5 linked regions of the Kluyveromyces lactis genome follow. The protein of the gene in region 1 interacts with the protein of each later gene in a pairwise test. Links are inferred from orthologs where the notes say so. Each region holds a gene or a part of one and is shown on either strand. Other genes may lie near its edges.

Region 1 (3,279 bases):
ACAGTGACCTTTCGAAGGATTTATTAAATTCTGAGGATTCTGATTTATCCGCTGTCATTGACGAAAAATGTATTGATTTCCATTCTAAAAGACTACCGATTGAAGAAGTGAATAATTTTATACTTCCCGATTTCAGAGGAATTCATGTTATGAAATTTGAAGTCTTCGATAAAGAAGATGATTTTGAAAGCATATTTTTCATCCAAGCACCTACTAAGGAAATTCAGAAAATGAATGCGATTGATATCACAAAGACGGCTGTCAGCCCAGTCTCGACCTTCTTGCAATCGTTATTATTAAGACTTGAATCCTTAATAATATTCAATTTTGATACACCAGATTCCTCATTATTACAATTATCACAAACTTTACATAAACTACCAAATCCGAAATAGTAGTCATATTCCCTGTCTATAAATTCTACAAAAAAATGAAAGCGTGGAAATTGTTCGATTAAATCAATCAGAAGAGTGACTTTTGGCTCCTTCAATTGAGAATATTCGCAATACTGTTAGTCATTATTTCTTTGTAAGAATATCTTTAATTAGCCAGTTAAGCTCTTCCCGGCTTCCCATATTCTTTTCGTCAAGGGGAGTGAAGTTAGGCTTTTCCCGTTTATAATGAAATAGATCATCGACAGGACTTTTGAAATGAACGATCTCATCGTCATTTACCAACCCATTTGTAGTTAATCCAAGGTATGCACCTGTTGGATCAACAACGTTGGGGAATATCGTGAACGAGTCCAAAGCGTCTTCATTTGTAATGGATACAGTTCTGTTACCAGTAATATCCTTCGCTTTATCACTCTCAGTCTTACTATTTGCTAACGCACTAGATGCTTGTTGGAACCCGTCATCGTTTAGGTCGTAGAAGTCCGAGTATTTCTTTTCTCTGTATCTTACTGTATCTATGGTGGATTCAATAATTGTCTTGAGATAATACTCTAATGCAAGTGATACGATATCAACACATCGCGAATCTATCTGTCCAACAATTCCATTTTCTCTTGCAATTCCTAGCATTCGAAGATAAAGAGACTCATTATCCGGTAAAACATATGACTCGGTAGAAAGTTGTGTTTTGAAACCATTCATGATCTTTTGGGACCATTCCTGTGGGCCCTTCAGATCTTGTTGCTGAATTCTCTTGGCAGTTTCCTGGTTGAAGACGCAAGGTAATTTCGGTATCTGTCTCAATCTAGCCTGTAGCACTGAACATAATACAAATCCTCGTTTTCCTGCTTCCTTTGTTATCATTTTTAATCGTTGTCTATCCGATAACGGTAGGGAAACAACAATTTTTTTGTATAATTCGATCTGCGAGTTGGGCTTGTTTGATCTTCTCTTATTCTGTTGTTGAGAACCGTTCTGGAACCCCCATTTCGATGATTGTGGATCATCGTCGGTGGTTTCTCTAAGAGAATTAGTGAATATCGATAGTAAAAGTTGGTTATGCAATCGTATTAAATCTCTTGGTTTAATATTCGGCTGTTCTTGGGTAGGTTTAAATAGTAAGTCTAATTCATTGACCAATTCCTTTCTGGACAATTTTCCGAGTATGAATAACGAAATCACTCTGGCATATTTCGCCCAATGCTCTTTGCTTAAAACTTCATTAAATTCATTAATCATAGATTCAATATCCAATCGCTTATCCTGAGGAAACCCAACGTTTCCTCCACCATTGTTATTACTGGTTTTGCTGATTTCCTTCACCGAATTGGTATTGTTGTTCTGATGGTTGCTATTAATACCAATATCTTCATGAATTGTCGGCGTACCACCTGTTGCAACTGTTGGCGTTGATACAGACATTCTCGGTCACGTGATTCGATATGCCTTTTATTTTTGACAGCGTTCTAAAATAAACCAAAGTAGAAATAAACCGCAGTAGCCAGAGACGAAAATTGACCAGTGGAGGGTTTCAAAATGAGCGGTAACCACGGCTAAATTGTCACCTTTTTTCAGATTATCAGTAATTACTTATCAATGCACAGTCAGTGCACAGTCAAAATCCGAATGAAGTACCTTGTTGTCCGTCAAATAGGGCGGCTTTCTCTTTCCTGAACTCGCTAATCTCATCCATCCTATACAATTTCATTCGATTTTCTGATTTCTTCATTTTCAAACGGAAAACTAAAACCGAAATTCGATTGGAAAGGCGAAGTGAGGGTAATTCCAAATAGTACTCAGTAATACGACGCGTAATGGGTATATGAGATATGGCTTTTGAGGAAATGAACACTATGGTTTGCTAACTTGCTGTCTACTGTAATATACTTTGACCACTGATACCACTCCTGGAACGGAATTGTCAATAGTATTCTGGCTATTCAATTACATCCTTAAGTATCGAAATTCCACTTTTATTCATTAATGTGATGAAATCACTCGACACTTCAAGAAAGAATCTGTCACGAGACAAATTGTTTCCGAATTGGTGATAAATGATTACTGACATTCTCGACTATTTATTAAATATTATTTATTAGATACTTGTGTTTGTGAGGTGAGGATATTCAGAAACCTAAGCTGTTATAACTTGGCGGAGAGCAGCTAGATGAAGTTGAAGGAATGTATATCAGAGATGAATTATTTGTTTGATCAAATTCACTACCAATGGAAACGGGCATGGCTTTACCATCCATAGCTGGTTCGTAAGCTGGTAAATGCAAGCTGGAACCCATATTTTTATCAATTATCATAACGGGCACCTTGAAATTAATGTTAATACGTCTTGTTTTGTCAGGAAAAGTGCCGTTAGTACAATCTTCCAGAGATGTACCAGCAGTTATCTTTAAATGATGGGTAATCTTAAGTTTAAAACGTTTCTCAGTTGAGTTCCTCCTGCTTAACCTTAACCTTGATTCCTCACAGTAGTATGGCAAGATCTTAGTCATTAAGGAACTTGTTTTAGAGTTTGTGTTAATTACAAGTTCTTCGAATTTAGCAGTTACCAGCTTCGATTCGTTATCATTTGGAGTGGGAAAATAATGACCCAAATGGACGGTATTAGTTTGGATATACGATTTCTTCAAGGGTGTAATGCCATCTGATTTGAGGCATGGTATCAGAACAAGCTGCACTAGGGAAACTGTGACCTTGGTGACTTTAGCTCCCATTTTCGTCAGAAAATTAAACTGACAGTGAAATGGACAGTTTAGTTCAATCAGCTTAGAAGATATGAAAAAATCATAATCTAAGAACCCTTCGTCATAAGTTCCCTGTGAACTGATTGATTCATATTTTAAAAGTGATGATGGGGACAACGTCTTAG
Region 2 (3,496 bases), on another chromosome or scaffold:
CTGATGGTTACGCTCGTGTGTTTTCCGGTTTCATTAAGGGATTGGATACCAAGGAACAAGTTGCTGGCTCTCCATGGGGTGAGAAATTCCCATTTGGTTCTTTGGTTAGAGAATGGTACCAGGGTGCCTGGATCCACGATATCAAATGGAGATCTTCCATCGATAAGGTCGCATTTGTCACCCACGATGGTTCCTTGAATATCACTGATTACACTGACGATATTAAGAGTGTAGACAACCCAGAAGGTCTTCCATTCATCACCTTATGTTGGATCAATGATCATGAAATTTTAGCAGCTGGTTTCTCAAATCATCCTGTTTTGTACAGCGAAGGTTCAAGGGGTTGGGAAGTGTCCAAGATTTTGGATAGCCCAGTTAAGAGTGCTGGCAAATTGGTAGCATCAACTGGGGATGATGAAGAAGAAGGTGCCTTCGGTATGTCCGCATTGAGAAAGTTCAAGGAATTGGATTTGAAGGGTAAAGTTAGCCAGCAAGAAGAGAAATCTACCCATGTGAACTCAATTACAGAATTGGCTGCTTACAAGGAATCTAACAACAACGTCACTCAAGTTTCTTCTGTTGGTTTGGATGGTAAACTTGTTATATACAAGTTGTAGATATGGACGGTAAACGATTCATCTCTTCATCAAATAGTTGATCAGATCACCCCTATAACTCTTACGTTCAGAGTGAGAATACAATAAAAAAGAGTGGCCTTAGAAATGAAATATGTATATCTATGTTCATATATATTAAAATGTAATGTTACAACTCTGATTATGATTACAATAATCAGTCCGATTCCGCTCATAGATCTGAAGGTTTTTGTTGGTGATCCATCCGTCGCTGTATCACGAGTGAATATACGCTACCTTTGAGAAGCGTACTTACAAGAGATATTTTCACTTCAATTTCTCGCATCTCTTGTAAAATTGCTTCCGGTTTTGAGTCCTCATGGGTGTTGTTTAGATCTGAAAGTGTTTCGCTCAATTCCCTTAAGGACTCCGCTAGGAAGCGATATTTATCGAGCACACTTCGCTGCAATGGTGTCAGTTCCGAAGACATATTCAAAACACAAATAGTATGTTTCTTTGTAATTTGTACGTAAGCCCAAACCAGTAATGGTTACCTTTGTTGCCTTACCTTACATATTCAATTGGAACTCTATCCGGTAAACTTATGATAACGTTATTTCATTTTTGGTATTTTCCAATATTGACGAAAAACATAAACGATCGAATCCTGAAAGAATAACAACTCCATCCTTCAAAGTAAGGAATACAAAGCCAACGATTTGAATACAACACCAGCGCTCCTCTATTGCACGAACATCCACTCGAAAACTCTAGTTTCAGGTGTATACACTGAAACAGCGATAAATTTTATTCGAGTAAACGGTATTCTTTTCTTTATTCATTTGTGTTCAATTTCAATAATGTCACAGCAGTCCTCTCAGCAACAATCTTATACAATTTGGTCCCCGCATGATACGGTGAAGGATGTGGCAGATTCACTCGGAATCTCAAATACAAATGATGACGTGTTGAGGTCATTGGCGATGGATGTCGAGTACCGTATTTTGGAAATCGTGGAACAAGCGGTGAAATTTAAGAGACACAGTAAGCGATCTACTTTGACTACAAGCGATGTTGCGAAAGCTTTACGTGTCCTTAACGTCGAGCCATTGTATGGATTCGAGGAAGGATCAGCGAAAAATGAGCCCGTTAAGTTCAATAAGTTGGAGGGCGCTAATGGGCAGACGCTTTATTACCTAGATGATGAGGAGATCGATTTTGAAAAATTGATCAATACTCCATTACCAGAAGTTCCAAGATTACCAACGTTCACGGCGCATTGGCTAGCGGTAGAAGGAATTCAACCTGCCATTCCACAAAATCCAAATATCAATGAACTAAGGCTGAGTCAAGTTCCGTTGCAAAGAGGAGCAATAGTCTCACCATTAAACGAAACTTCTGTTCAAACCTCTTTACAAACAAATGTCAATGAAGAAAGACAGGCCACCGCAAATGGACCTATCTCGACACAAGTGAAACCAGGTGCAGCAAGTGAAGCTAAGCCATTGGTCAAACACGTTTTGTCTAAAGAATTACAGATATATTTCGAAAAAGTTGCTAGTGCACTTACATCGAAGGAAGAAGATATCAATTCACAACGGATGAGAGCAGCAGCTTTAACTTCGTTGAAGTCTGACACAGGACTACATCAGCTTGTTCCATATTTCATACAGTTTATCGCAGAGCAGATTACTCACCATTTAGAGGATTTGGAGTTGTTAACTACAATGTTGGAAATGATATATTCGTTATTGAGTAATCAATCAGTATTTTTGGATCCTTACATTCATTCTCTAATGCCTTCTATCTTAACACTACTATTAGCGAAGAGACTTGGTGGTAATGGCTCGAAAAACTCATCTGACGACAAGATTGTTGACCAGCAAAATAAAAAAGAGTTTTTAGAGAAGACTAATGCTGTCCGTGATTTTGCTAGCTCTTTACTCGATCACGTCTTGAAAAAGTTCCCAAAGGTTCACAAATCGTTGAAACCTCGTGTTACTAGAACTTTACTTAAGACATTCTTGGATATCAATAGATCATTCGGTACTTACTATGGTTGTGTACGTGGTGTTTCTGTCCTCGGTAACGAAACAATAAGATTCTTTTTAGGCAATTTACAAAACTGGTCGAAACTAGTTTTCGAGGAATATGACAGAAGCCAATCGGAAGACAGCAAGAGCGGAAAGAACCTAACTGACTTGGAGATAAAATTATTGTCAACAGTGATAGTGTCCACTTTAGAGAACTTGAAATCTGATCTTCCATCTTCATACAACCCTTCTGGTGATTTTAGTGAGGAGGACAAAACTCGTTTGAGAGAAAGATGCGGAATTACTGTCGGCAACGTAATACTGGAAAGAGACGATGCAAAGACTCTATACGATGCTATATTTTTTGGTGAGCTTTAGACATCAAATATGTAAATATTGTAACGAATATACGTATTAACTACGGCGCAAATAATCTCCTACGGACGTGCCTGGTTTTAACCTTTACTGGCGATGCCCTAACTGGTGTTTCTGAAACAACTGAAGGGGAAGCCACCAACACTGGGGTGTCCTTCTTTTCCTCTATAGGTTTGATCGGAGTTGCTGTAACATGTATATCCTGCTGTTTATCATCAAATCCGGTTTCTGAGATATAGCTAGCAAGTTTACGTTTACCAACTCGTTGGAAAGAGTTATTATGAGATTGAGAGATATTGATAGCTTTTCCGTTTACCAAAACAGTTCTAACAGTGCTGAACTCCTCCAATATTTGTTGTCTTTGCTTGACAATATCGTCTAAAGAAAGATCTTGCACAGACATTTGTCTTTTTTGAAGGCGATTCAGTTTCAAATCCGACGACGACCTTGACGCCATTTTGGGTTTCTTCTTTGTTGTTTCCTCCTCCAAAAACTCTACAAGGTTTGAGTTCG
Region 3 (3,954 bases), on another chromosome or scaffold:
ATACCTTTGGGAATATCATCTTTGTTACTATTATTTGGAATCCCTCATTACTATATCCACTGGGAAAGCTACTATTATAAAGGACATCCGATTTTACAGCAGTGGGACGCTGAAAAACCAATATTAGATTAGTTATTAGGATTCTGTTAACATTTACATTTCATTGACTGCATTGATATCAATGCACATAAAATATACGTACTCATTGTAAATAATATAAAGATAAAGCGCATTCTCTTTTTTTTTATTTATTACAATTGGACAACTACTAGATATGTCGAATAAACGACCCTTATCTGGCTGAGTAAAGTAATCGCATTTACTCAATAAATGCACCACCAGCCAAAACTAGGTTCGTTCTTGTGAATTTTACTTTGTGAATTGCTGTTTTCTTTGTATGGAACGAAGCCATCAAATCCTGAGTTGGTATTACTGCCCGCCTACGTCCGAATTCTTTGATATCGTTATTTACACTGAGTTCCATATCTCCTGAATACGTGTTGAATTGTTGTTCCGGCTCCATTCCAGGCTCGTTTGTAAACCTCTTTATATCCCAAACTCTAACACTTTGATCCGCACCACCTGTTACTAGACAGTTACCTTCTTTGTTAAAAGTTATGGAATAGATAGGATTCTTACCGTGACCCTTCATCTGTTTGATTCTTTTACCAGTACCAATATCCCATACGATAATTGTGCCATCCTCACTGCCCGTAGTTAACCACCTACCGTCAGGCGATACTTCAAGTGCGGTGACTGGTGATGTATGTCCCAAAAACAGTCTAACAGAATCACCTGTTTGAATATCCCACATACGGCACGTTTTGTCGCTGGAACCAGTGAAAACATAGCAACCATTTGGATGGAAAGTGCTACAATCCACGTCATTTAGATGACCTGAGAAAATTCTCAACGGATAGATATGATCACAAGACCATAGTCTAGCCGTTTGATCATGTGAAGCGGTGATGAAATAATGGCCAAGTGGAGAAAACTTGACGTACCATACTGGATGGTTATGGCCTTTGTAACACACTAGGCAAGTGAACGTATCTAAAGACCAAAGTCTGACAGTTTTATCTTCAGATGCGCTAAGTAAGTACCTGTTATCCGGGCTGAATGCAACGGAATAAACTGGTCCGCTGTGTCCTACCAAAGTAGCAGAGTTCGATTGGTCTTTAGCTTTGGATGGGAGGATCGACTGTAGCGGTGATCCATCAAGGTACCATACCTTAATTGTACTGTCTTGGAAACCAGCTGCAGTTAGTCTAGCATCATCACTAAATTCTACGCAAGTCATATTACCATTAGTGTTGTGGAAAGTGTACATACACACACTTGGTGCAGAAGTTTGTAGGTTTTTCAATTGGATGGAATCTCTACTCTCCCTTACTTTTTGAATTTCCATCTTTAGATCTAAAGTTGTTTTTACCGGTAGCGGCAACGAATCCTTTGCTGGTGATTCCATCATAGATCCAATTGAAGCCTCTGGTTTTTCTTCCTCGTCTTTATTCTTTGAGTCTCTTTTCTTTCTTTCAGCAGCCGATGATTCGACACTAAGTGTAGGAGTGCCTTTCTCTTCTGTATCTGCTGTTGCATCGACTTCTTCTCCACCCTCTTCAGCTTCAGGTTCCTTATTTTCATTTTCTTCCTTAACGGTGTTATCATCAGCTTTTTCAGTGCCCTCTGGTTTGTTCTGATTACCGTTCATTTCTCTATATTCCTCAACTAATGTCTTACCGACAGGTTTATCCTTATTCTCAGCTGCCTCTTGTTCATCTTTTTTCTGCAACTCAATCTCTACTTCCTTGGTGAACTCTTCGTCCTTTGGATACGGTCCTAACTTCACAGGTACCGAGTTATACGTATCAACATCAATATCACCGGTTGAGATATCTTTGATCCCGTCGGTGAGAATATCCTCAGATTTGACAACATCTACGATATTTGGATCCAAGTTTTGGTTTATGATGGAAATCAACAAAGATCCTCCCACACTTTCGTTTTCGTTCAAGAAATACAACAAAAGGTTCAAAGTAGTTCTTGAGATTGTGATCTTATATTTATTGGTTTGGAAACCTTGAGCCAACTCATTTTCCTTGATGTGATCTACTGAGTTGACACTGAATAATCGGTTAATTTCTGATCCATGAAGGGCTTTGTAATCGACAGAATACTTGTCAAAGAATCTTCTCGCTTGTAAGGGGTCCTTGATGACCAACTGTAAAAAAACGTAAATGAAAATCGGGTATATGATACGTGATAGCTCAGGTTTGTACAATTCTAAAGACGAATCGATCCAATTTTTCAACATTGAGTAAGCTCTAAAATAGTGCAAGGGTGTCACCTGTTGCGGTTTTATCAATTGGCCGTTGTTATCTCTTTTCAAGGGCATCGAAGGATTTGAAACAGGTTTTGCAGTGGTAGTACTTCCTGTAATCGCAGTGGCTGATGCAGACGAGGCAGGGATTGTGTTAGAAGCAGCAGCGTTTTTATTTGGAGGCGTCAAAGTACGTGACGATTCAGCACGAAGCATCTGTTCCGTTCTGTGATACCCCTTCTTATTCAAATATTCCAAAACGATGCGGTTCAAATCTGACGCTGAAAACCCCGGTTTAGAAGCTGCCGGTGCATTCCCACTGGCACCGCTACCGCCAGCATTGGCATTAGCGCTAGCATTTCCGGCCGCACTACTATTTCCATTGCCACTACTTCCGCCTGCACCGGGAGCCGTGGCTCCTGACGCTCCCCCAGCTGCATCGCCTGCCTTGTTTCCCTGTTGTTTGCCGTTCGAAGACATATTAAGCAAGCCGGAAACTGTGCTAAGAGGTTCTTCTCTTTCACGCTTTTTTTTTTTAAAAGGCTAAGCAAGTATACCTAGTTCCTTATTCAGCTTACTCCTAAGCTCAAGTACTGGTATAGTTCAAGCTTGCTAAGGCAATGATTTAGCAATCATTTGCTGTTTATTTGTTTACTTATTCATTCACATTTTTCAGTTTTATTTTTTTCCATATTCAACTTTCAACCTGGAAACTACTCTCAGACACAAAGTAACTGGCATTTAGAGATCTGAATTAAAGGTCACGTTTTACGGATTCAAGAATTATCTTTTCAGTACATCTCCGGGTAACAGGTTGAACAGCCCCGGAGTCCACAGCACGTTTTTAGACTTCGATTCGAACTTTATTTTAATTTTTACTCGCAGAACGCAGTTAAGCTACATATCTAGAGAACCCAGTATAAAATATATGTGTACAGAGAAACAGTGGGGAGAGGCTTTAAAGGGTCGGGAATTTTGCAGTGGCCTTGGGTGGGTAAATGAAGATCCCTATTTCACGATGCCAAAGCCATACCCCCCACAAATGACTTCCTTTTCGTTTTTCCATCCAGGGGTAGGAGTCCAGTAATTGGATCTGGATTCGTGTTTTTCAACTTCCAAAGAAGGGATGCTTATTTTGCGGGATGCCAGTTACCAATGTACATACTACGGGGGTACCTTCATTTGACGTGGCAATTGGAGGTAATGCGTGCCGCGTCTGTAATATAACAGAAATTATAAGTCACGTTGCCCTTATTTTACTATTTCGTTACCCGGTTCATGTAAAAATAATCCCATTGGGGTTCCACTAATGTCAGGAGACGAAGTTGAACAGCAATGAAACGGTGAAGTTGGGAAAAAAAACAAGAATTCAAGCACGAAAGTTGGAAAATTAAAGGAATTCGCCTTCTTCTCAGTTCTGATACTTGTCTTTCCATCGTCAAACGTTGCTCCATCTCATCGCAAGGCCCATCAGATACACTAGCAAACCGTTCTAAAACGCCAGCTGCTTCTTCTATAGAAAAGCCATACGCCGTTGAGTCACTGCGTGAGTGAATCAGTAGGTCTGTGAGTAGGATAATCTTTCCTATTGTACGTCGATTTAGATTTGCCAAAAAAGCGTTTGTTTCTAGTGC
Region 4 (3,980 bases), on another chromosome or scaffold:
GGTTCCAAAATCGGGTCTAGATACTCTGGAGTTAGATTGTCGATACATAACTCCAAAGTCCTTAATCCTTGAGTTATCAATTCTGGAAATCCAACCAAGGCATACACTAATGGCTTCATTAGATAATTCAAATATGGTGCCAATACACTAAGCCTCACAGGCACAGTGAGACAGAGCTCCACATACAAATCGCGTTCGTGAGGGCGACAAGCTGTCTGGATCATCTTATTGAGGGACTGTAGAAGAGTTTGAAGTATTGGTTTTATTGAACGATACAAGTTTTCAAATCTGCCGCCACCAATACTTCTGAACAATGTTCTTATCAAATAGAAATACACCAAAGGCTCTTCAGCCTCTGTCGAATACTTCAAAGAATCTAAAATCAAATTATTCAAGTGAGGTAACAAGACCGCCTCATTGGTAATAGGGAAGAGATTGACAGACATGAATGATAGCTTGAATAGTCTGATGAGTATATTTGATTTGTTACTGTCCACATTCCCTAGTTCTGGAAGTTTGGAATTCAAGAACTTTAGAAGAATACCGGTGAAATTGGGAGATGTGATTTCACTTGTCAAGAATGATTGAGCAACATGCAACAAAGCTGAATCGCGTAGTAAAGATTCGTAGATAAAGACGATTTCACTCTCAACGATTTCATTGAAGACAGGACTGTCGATTTGCATGAAAATAATAGCGAAATAATCCATCAACTCTCGACCATCTTTAGTTGCTGACACAGGTAAGCTAGGTGTAGTTATATCGAAGTGTGCTTTTACTGTGGATGGATCAATGCCCTCTGGATTAGAAGAAAATAGATGTAGACCAGCTATACATTCATGGAACAAATTCTTCAACACGATCACCTCTTCGTAGGAAAATACTCTTGATAATGCAGACCACATTTTCGGATTCATTGTAGTATATTCATCTGGGGGTGGGTTAAAAACCTTCAAGTCATGAATAATGGTTTTCAGAAATGAAAGAAGAGTACGATATAAGTAAAATGCGTCCTTAAGAGGATCATTTGACGTCGCTTGGAAGAGAATTATTGGAGCATGATTTTGTATATCATTGAAGTCCAATATCTCAACTGAGTTTTCTTTGAACGATATATCCGAATTTTTATCTTGATTCTTTACAGTCAGTGATGTGTTATTATCACTATGCACCGAACTGTTACCTTTCTCTGATATATCAGGTTCTTCGCTCATAGTAATATCACCATCGACGTCGGCATTGGTATCAACAGTAACTGATGACGGTAACAATTCGTCTGTTGATTTCAAGATGTTAACCATATATTCATCAACATCGTGCCTGTCTTTCGCAAGTTGATCTTGGATCTCCTTAGATTTCTTATTTTTACTCTGTTCGTAGACATTATGTTGTTTTAATATCTTCTTATGCTGTGAATTTAATAGCTTGAATCTTGAAGTATAAGCCTCTATAATCGTCATTAGTAGCTTTTTGGCCTTAGGAACTTCATATGCGTCTTTCTTACCTAAAGTTAAAATCCGTTCTATTAAATTCAATAGTAGCTTAGCACTCATAATTTGCACAGTCAAAGCCAAAGACTCATCCAAAAGAAAACTGGTGTACATTTTAACAGTTTTTTCTATGTCAGCCATTGCCAAATCTGACCGAATATTATGAATGAAATCTGCAAGGGTACTGTACGCTAATGGTCTCAAGGTTTCATATGAAGTGAATCCATCACCAATCAAGACTTTTTGGTCAAACATCAAATTGATCTTGGGTAGAAACAATTTCTTATAACTTGTAGAGAGAATATGTCTCGTAGCATGTAATAATTCTTTACGTGCAGATGATAATTCACTTGGGCAGTCCTGTAATAATCTCATCACCAAATCTGGGACTTTCTTGACGTGTAGTTTCAAAATATCTGTAGCATAACCGCGAATAAACACATACGCTAAGAAAGAAGTTGCCTTGATTTGAGCTAGGACATAATCACAGAATGCAGAGCGGTTTTTGATTTCTGACGACATCCCAATAAGTTTTTCACCTTTAGCTTCTAGTTCTTCTCTGGATTTTTGCTGTTGTTTCACTTCCAAAGTGAGTAAGTCAATGACGAGTGGTAAAAAAGTCGGTAAGTCTACTAAAATCAAATGTTTATATGATGAAAATAAGGTCACCATTGTAATTGGGCATTCAGACAAAGTCTTGAATGATTCTGTAGCTTTTTCCAAATGTTTCTTGGACGGTGCAGACAAGTTTTCGAAAGCATCCTCCTCATTATTAGAGTTCGAAAAATCTTGTGAATCTGCAGTTGATGAGCTGGTTTCTTCTTCACCAAGGAAAGTAGATGCCACCAAGTTCGGTACGTTTTCATATATTCCAACGATAATTTTAATGAACGTATTCACTTCACTTTCTAATGGCTGCTTATAGCATTTGAACAACGAAGTGAGGATCTTCATACACAAGACACCATTTTCATCGTTTTCTAAGGTTAATATTTTTAACAGGCATTGCAGCACTTCCATGGCCATAGGTTCCATTTTATCGTTAAGTGGACATCTATTCAAAAGTTCTAGACATGTATTTCTCAACTTGTGTTCAGGAGATGAGGCATTCATTGAGATTTGATCATCATTCAACTGTGATAAAATGAGCGGCAACAACTTCTTCAAAAACTCATCGTATTCGACTGAAGAAGTTACAACATCCAAAACATCGTAAAGTTCTGATATAATGGCATGTCTTTCAGCAACATCTTCAGTATCCCTGATTCTTTCGACAAAAGTGTCCATTCTCTCATGAGTATCAGTTGATTCCATTGCTTATAAGTTACAATCGTTGCAGCTCAGCTATATTGAATAAAGAATCAAATTGCAGACCGCGTCTTCCTTTGAAATTAATGAATTAGGGAGGATGCAAGTTGAAATAAAAGAACAAAAATGCGAAGCTAGCTGATAGAACCTGTTGTCTAGTGATAAGGCGCTATAATTGCTTTGGTGGTTGAAGTTCGTGTATTCGTTTGAAATCAATACTACGCTTTTGTTGGTTGAGAGTACAGATTTCAATGTCATATCGAAATTTGAAAACAATTGGTACCAAGAAAAACAATTTGAAAAACCTCTGTAGACCTTGAAAAGTTTTGTATCACGTGATGACATTCCTATTTAGGAAGTGATCACGTGCATGATCCGAATAACTTACCCGGCTATTAATTTTTCATTGAAAATTACGTATTTGTTTTATTCTTTGCCATCATCAACAGAAAAATACGCACGAAATGTGAACGTTACTCTAGCAGATAAGCGGACAGCCAATGTGCATAATTTTTTGAGTGTCGAAAGATAGAACAATGGCGAAGGGTAAGTAGCGCTCACGATAACTCGTGTTTTTCACGGACAACATCTTATTAAAACAAGTACAACATAATCGTCGATTAAATTCAAGGCGGCTAACTTAAACGAATATCGTTTTTACTTACCAACTCGAAAAATGAGGCAATACCCCCCCTTTAGCTATTACTGGAACCATTAACTGCTTCTATTGATTGGACTGTGTGACGTAATCTGTGTGCATAAATTCACAGTTCACAAAGATCTACATACGGTTCTCAAAAAAGGGTTCATTCGGCCAGCACCGTACAGCTCTAATTAAGATTCGACAATTTTGTAGCGCTTCCCTGATAACCAGGTGATAGATTGTTTTACATTGTACCTTACAAATTCCTTCAAGAATTTAACTCTATCCTTGAAAAGGCGCTGAAAGTAGCTCTACTACGTTGTTTTGTTCTTCTTCATCTCCATTTCGAAAGCCTGTAAAACCAGAAGTACGCCTTGCATTCATGTTTTTTCAACCAAGGCTCAGAGTGTGGCGTGAAATTCACAGATCATCATGTAGAAAAAATATCCTTTTCCATCACTTTTTGCATCACATTTGGTAAAGAATCCCGTACCAAATGGATCACGTATTTGAAAAAAAGAACCGGAAAAAAACTGGTG
Region 5 (3,767 bases), on another chromosome or scaffold:
TTATTCGCTTCGTATTATGCTTTTCATTCTTTTCGTTCCCTCGAGGCGAAATCCCGTAAACGACGTTATACGATTGGCAGCATTACGTTTTTTAAACGAGGAAGGGAGGGAACCTAGGCAATGGACCGATATATTACTCACGTGATTTATCTTTCGCTTTGTGTATGATTAAAGTCTGATTATGTATATATAGTATATTACAGACATATATCGGTTTGACCGTTTAGAAGTTGAATCAAAGCTTTTGGTCTTCGACTTGGTCTCTGGTCAACCAGTGGAGTGCAAGCGGGTATAAACTCTTCATGTAGCCTAGTATCACGGTGTGTCGTCCGTTGTCCTTTCGCTCTTGGACGCCCTCTATTTCCTTTGTAAAGTGGATATCACGTTGGTAATCCAACGTTCTTGTGATGGTGCCATCTTGCAAATGGATAATCTCATCAGCCCATGGTGCTAGCCCATCGAAAATGTGCGTTGCATACACAACGCTACATTGTCTGTCTCTCGTTTCTCGATCCAGGAATTGGAATAGACGGTCACGTGCCACGACATCCAAGTCCACAGTGACTTCGTCTAATAGCAGAACTTTGAAGGGTTTCAATAAACCCATGCACAGTTGTACACGTCTCTTTTGGCCATCGCTAAGTTTGAACATTCTCCAATTGATATCCACTTCCAAGATTCTCACTAGCTCTTCACCTCGAGCCCTGTAGTGGCTTAGTCCGATACTCTCCAAGAGTTCCAGGACTCCTATATCCCTGTGTACAATAGCCATACTAGCCCATTCAGTGCCTAAGTAAGTAGTCAGTATCACGGACTCCTGGTCATTGTTTGGTGCGAATGGGTTCTTGTTTCCAACTTTTATGTTCCCACCGAGACACAAATGTTTACCACTTAGTAGTTTCAACAGCGTAGATTTTCCAGCACCGTTGTTACCCACCACTAAGACTTTCTTGTTCCATTCGACACTTAGCGATAGATCGTGGATTGCTGAGCGTTTACTTCCGGGGAATGCGTACGTTAGATCGTGCACTTCCACTGCTAGGTCGTTCGAGGCCATTATTTGTTTTGGCTTGTAGTTTTCAAAGGTTTGAGTGACTTGTTCTATAGTTAGATACCGATTGAGCGGTGATTAGAAGCTCCGCCAGTGTATAATAGGATCGTTATCTTGTTGTCTCCATTTGAAAGTGTTCTGATTCAATTTGATATTTGGAAAATAAAACTGTTGATATTGAAATGATTTCAACCAAAATAAACCTGTCTGTACGAATTTAGGACACAGTGAATATGACAGGAAACACTGTAACACATCACAACAAAACATTGTCCTTTCCCACCTAAGCCACGTTCCAATATGGATGATGATGTGGATGAAATCTTGAATCAAAATAACGTTCAAAATACTCAAGATGATGATGTTGACATGGACGATGAATTGGAGGATGTAGATGTGGATGTTCCGAACGCCGAAGAGGACGAGCCGATGGACGAGGAAGAACAAGATGAAGATGCTGAAGATGCCGATGATGACGACGATGAGGATGAAGATCGGAGCGATGACGAAGATGCTGAAGATCGAAGTGAGGATGATGATGATGATGATGATGATGATGATGAACGCAGTGATGACGATGATGACGATGATGACGAGGAAGAAGATGAAGAACAGACAGAGAATGGTGAAGAGGGCACGAGAACGGGGGAAATTAAACAATCTAATACCCACGAAATTGGAGATGATGATGCCGAGAGTGCCGAAAAGGAATCCGCAACTTCTGAGAAGGATTCTCCATCTTCTTCAGATGGGAAATCTACTGAAATGTCAAAGCTGGATAAGATACATCAATATTATACGACTCTTTATAGATCTGCATCTGTAGCAGAATCTTATAATATACTTCCAACTGCAGCAATACCAATACAGACTAATGTACAGGCATTGACCATGTCCAAGGGTCTACGGTATCTATTTCTCGGTGGGTCAGACGGGTTTATAAGGAAGTTTGACTTCTTAAATACTGTGGATGGTAAGCTATCACTAACTATTCAGCAGAAGAACGCATTGGTGGATTCAATTGTCAATGCGGGTATCTTGACTTCTTATTGGGAGAATGAAGTACCGCAACCTCCGTCAAAAGTAAAATGGGTAAAACAAAAGTCGGAGTATCTTCCTCTCGTCTCACCTGTCCACTCCTTGGCGGTTCAAAATGAATGTTTGTTCATACTAGCCGGACAAGAAACTGGCGGTATCGTAATGCAGGGTGTTAGATATTTTGAAGGGAGGACTGCACACTATTTTAAAGGTCATAAATCCATCGTTAACCATCTTGTACTTAATGATGAGGAAACTAGGTTTTTATCGGGTTCTTGGGACAAAACCGTCATTGAATGGGATTTGGAAACAGGAACTGATATAACCAAGTTCAATGCTACATCACAGTTGTCTTCATTAGAATTCAGACCCACCAATGCCGCCTACGAACTTCCTGAGCCTAACTTGAGTGGACACAATCCTGATGTCGATAGCAATAATGTAGTTGGCAACGGAGATGCAGCTGATATCGATGATGTTGATACTAATTCATTGTTTGGTGATGATGATGATGATGATGATCAGGATGATCAACACGTAGCTACCAACGATAATACCGAGAAAGCTGAAGATAATACTCAACAAGAAAACAAAGATAAAAATGAGATACAAGAACACACATCAGAAAAGAAGGTCGAATCAGAAACCATTAGTAAGAATACTTTAGCTTTGAAAACGGATGAAAACTTATTTTTGACGTCTTGCATTGATGGTAATATTCAAATCTGGGATCGAAGACAACCCTCGAGCGAAATTATCAAACTTGGTCGTAATGTTTCAACACCGCCATGGTGCATGTCTGCATGTTGGTCAGTAGACGGGGGTAAAGTAATAGCAGGTAGAAGAAATGCTGTTGTAGAAATATATGATTTAAGAAAGCCCGAGGTAGTGGAAAGCAAATTAAAATTGCCATCAATTTCAGGACCCGTTTCTAAAGTGAAGGCAATGCCTAACAATAGCCACGTTGTTGCGGCATCTAACGATAACATCAGAATCTTTGATATTAACCATATCGATAAAACCCCACTTATTATTCCAGGACATCATGGTGGATGTATCTCAAATCTTTATGTGGATCCTACATGTAGATTCATGATTAGTACAAGTGGTAACCGAGGCTGGCAAGGTACAGCGACCGATGTAACTTTAATCTATGATATTGAACTAAATTAAACATTTGATGAAGCAGTGTTATAAGTATTCGGTAACCTGTATAAAATAAATACATGTTAAATATATCTGTATCATTACACGGAAGGCAACTAAACGGACTTATTACGGACTTAGCACCTTTTTCAAAGAATCTATCAACGAAGAACTATGTATAGTGTTGGTATGTGAAGAACCCACCTTGATTACAGCCGCAATTATGCCTATAACGAGAGACCATTTAACAAATAGTGGAATCTTTGGTGACGCTTTGACGATTTTCCTTGAAGCGTCCCATTCTATTTCTTTTGAAAGAACGTTTATTAATTCAGAGAACTCAATATTGGATACAGATATCAAACTACTGTATTTGTTGACATATTTTGCCACTCTAACCGTACTATTGTTTAGCCGTAGTCTTGCCTGGGTTAATATTTCATCCCATGATGATCGGGTTAGAAATTTCAGCAAAGTTTGTTGTACTACAGAATGTATCAGGTCCATGTCATTCTCAAAATCAATTTCATAA

Evidence for each region.
Region 2: the proteins of HFI1 (region 1) and TAF6 interact in binary tests that used the Saccharomyces cerevisiae proteins (3 or more experiments, as listed by UniProt). The link is inferred for Kluyveromyces lactis from reciprocal best matches to the Saccharomyces cerevisiae genes HFI1 and TAF6.
Region 3: the proteins of HFI1 (region 1) and TAF5 interact in binary tests that used the Saccharomyces cerevisiae proteins (3 or more experiments, as listed by UniProt). The link is inferred for Kluyveromyces lactis from reciprocal best matches to the Saccharomyces cerevisiae genes HFI1 and TAF5.
Region 4: the proteins of HFI1 (region 1) and TRA1 interact in binary tests that used the Saccharomyces cerevisiae proteins (3 or more experiments, as listed by UniProt). The link is inferred for Kluyveromyces lactis from reciprocal best matches to the Saccharomyces cerevisiae genes HFI1 and TRA1.
Region 5: the proteins of HFI1 (region 1) and SPT8 interact in binary tests that used the Saccharomyces cerevisiae proteins (3 or more experiments, as listed by UniProt). The link is inferred for Kluyveromyces lactis from reciprocal best matches to the Saccharomyces cerevisiae genes HFI1 and SPT8.

What each region holds. Positions count from the first base shown.
Region 1 is NC_006038.1:904,138-907,416, forward strand, and holds HFI1 (Hfi1p), read right to left. Parts: upstream 1,818-3,279; coding exon 519-1,817; downstream 1-518. Other genes in the region: CIK1 (Cik1p), read left to right, coding at 1-395; KLLA0_B10373g (uncharacterized protein), read right to left, coding at 2,522-3,279. UniProt on the Saccharomyces cerevisiae protein: Component of the transcription coactivator SAGA complex. SAGA acts as a general cofactor required for essentially all RNA polymerase II transcription. At the promoters, SAGA is required for transcription pre-initiation complex (PIC) recruitment.
Region 2 is NC_006042.1:978,988-982,483, forward strand, and holds TAF6 (TATA-binding protein-associated factor TAF6), read left to right. Parts: upstream 1-1,435; coding exon 1,436-2,986; downstream 2,987-3,496. Other genes in the region: ARC40 (Arc40p), read left to right, coding at 1-617; DAD3 (Dad3p), read right to left, coding at 808-1,065; SLD3 (Sld3p), read right to left, coding at 3,027-3,496.
Region 3 is NC_006041.1:2,087,362-2,091,315, reverse strand, and holds TAF5 (chromatin modification protein), read right to left. Parts: upstream 2,801-3,954; coding exon 320-2,800; downstream 1-319. Other genes in the region: GPI2 (phosphatidylinositol N-acetylglucosaminyltransferase), read left to right, coding at 1-132. UniProt on the Saccharomyces cerevisiae protein: Functions as a component of both the DNA-binding general transcription initiation factor complex TFIID and the transcription coactivator SAGA complex.
Region 4 is NC_006042.1:2,059,524-2,063,503, forward strand, and holds the start of TRA1 (histone acetyltransferase TRA1), read right to left. Parts: upstream 2,805-3,980; coding exon 1-2,804. UniProt on the Saccharomyces cerevisiae protein: Essential scaffold subunit of the transcription coactivator SAGA complex. SAGA acts as a general cofactor required for essentially all RNA polymerase II transcription.
Region 5 is NC_006042.1:819,329-823,095, reverse strand, and holds SPT8 (SAGA complex subunit SPT8), read left to right. Parts: upstream 1-1,351; coding exon 1,352-3,262; downstream 3,263-3,767. Other genes in the region: putative ATP-binding cassette family ATPase CAF16, read right to left, coding at 236-1,057; GTPase-activating protein GYP8, read right to left, coding at 3,365-3,767. UniProt on the Saccharomyces cerevisiae protein: Component of the transcription coactivator SAGA complex. SAGA acts as a general cofactor required for essentially all RNA polymerase II transcription. At the promoters, SAGA is required for transcription pre-initiation complex (PIC) recruitment.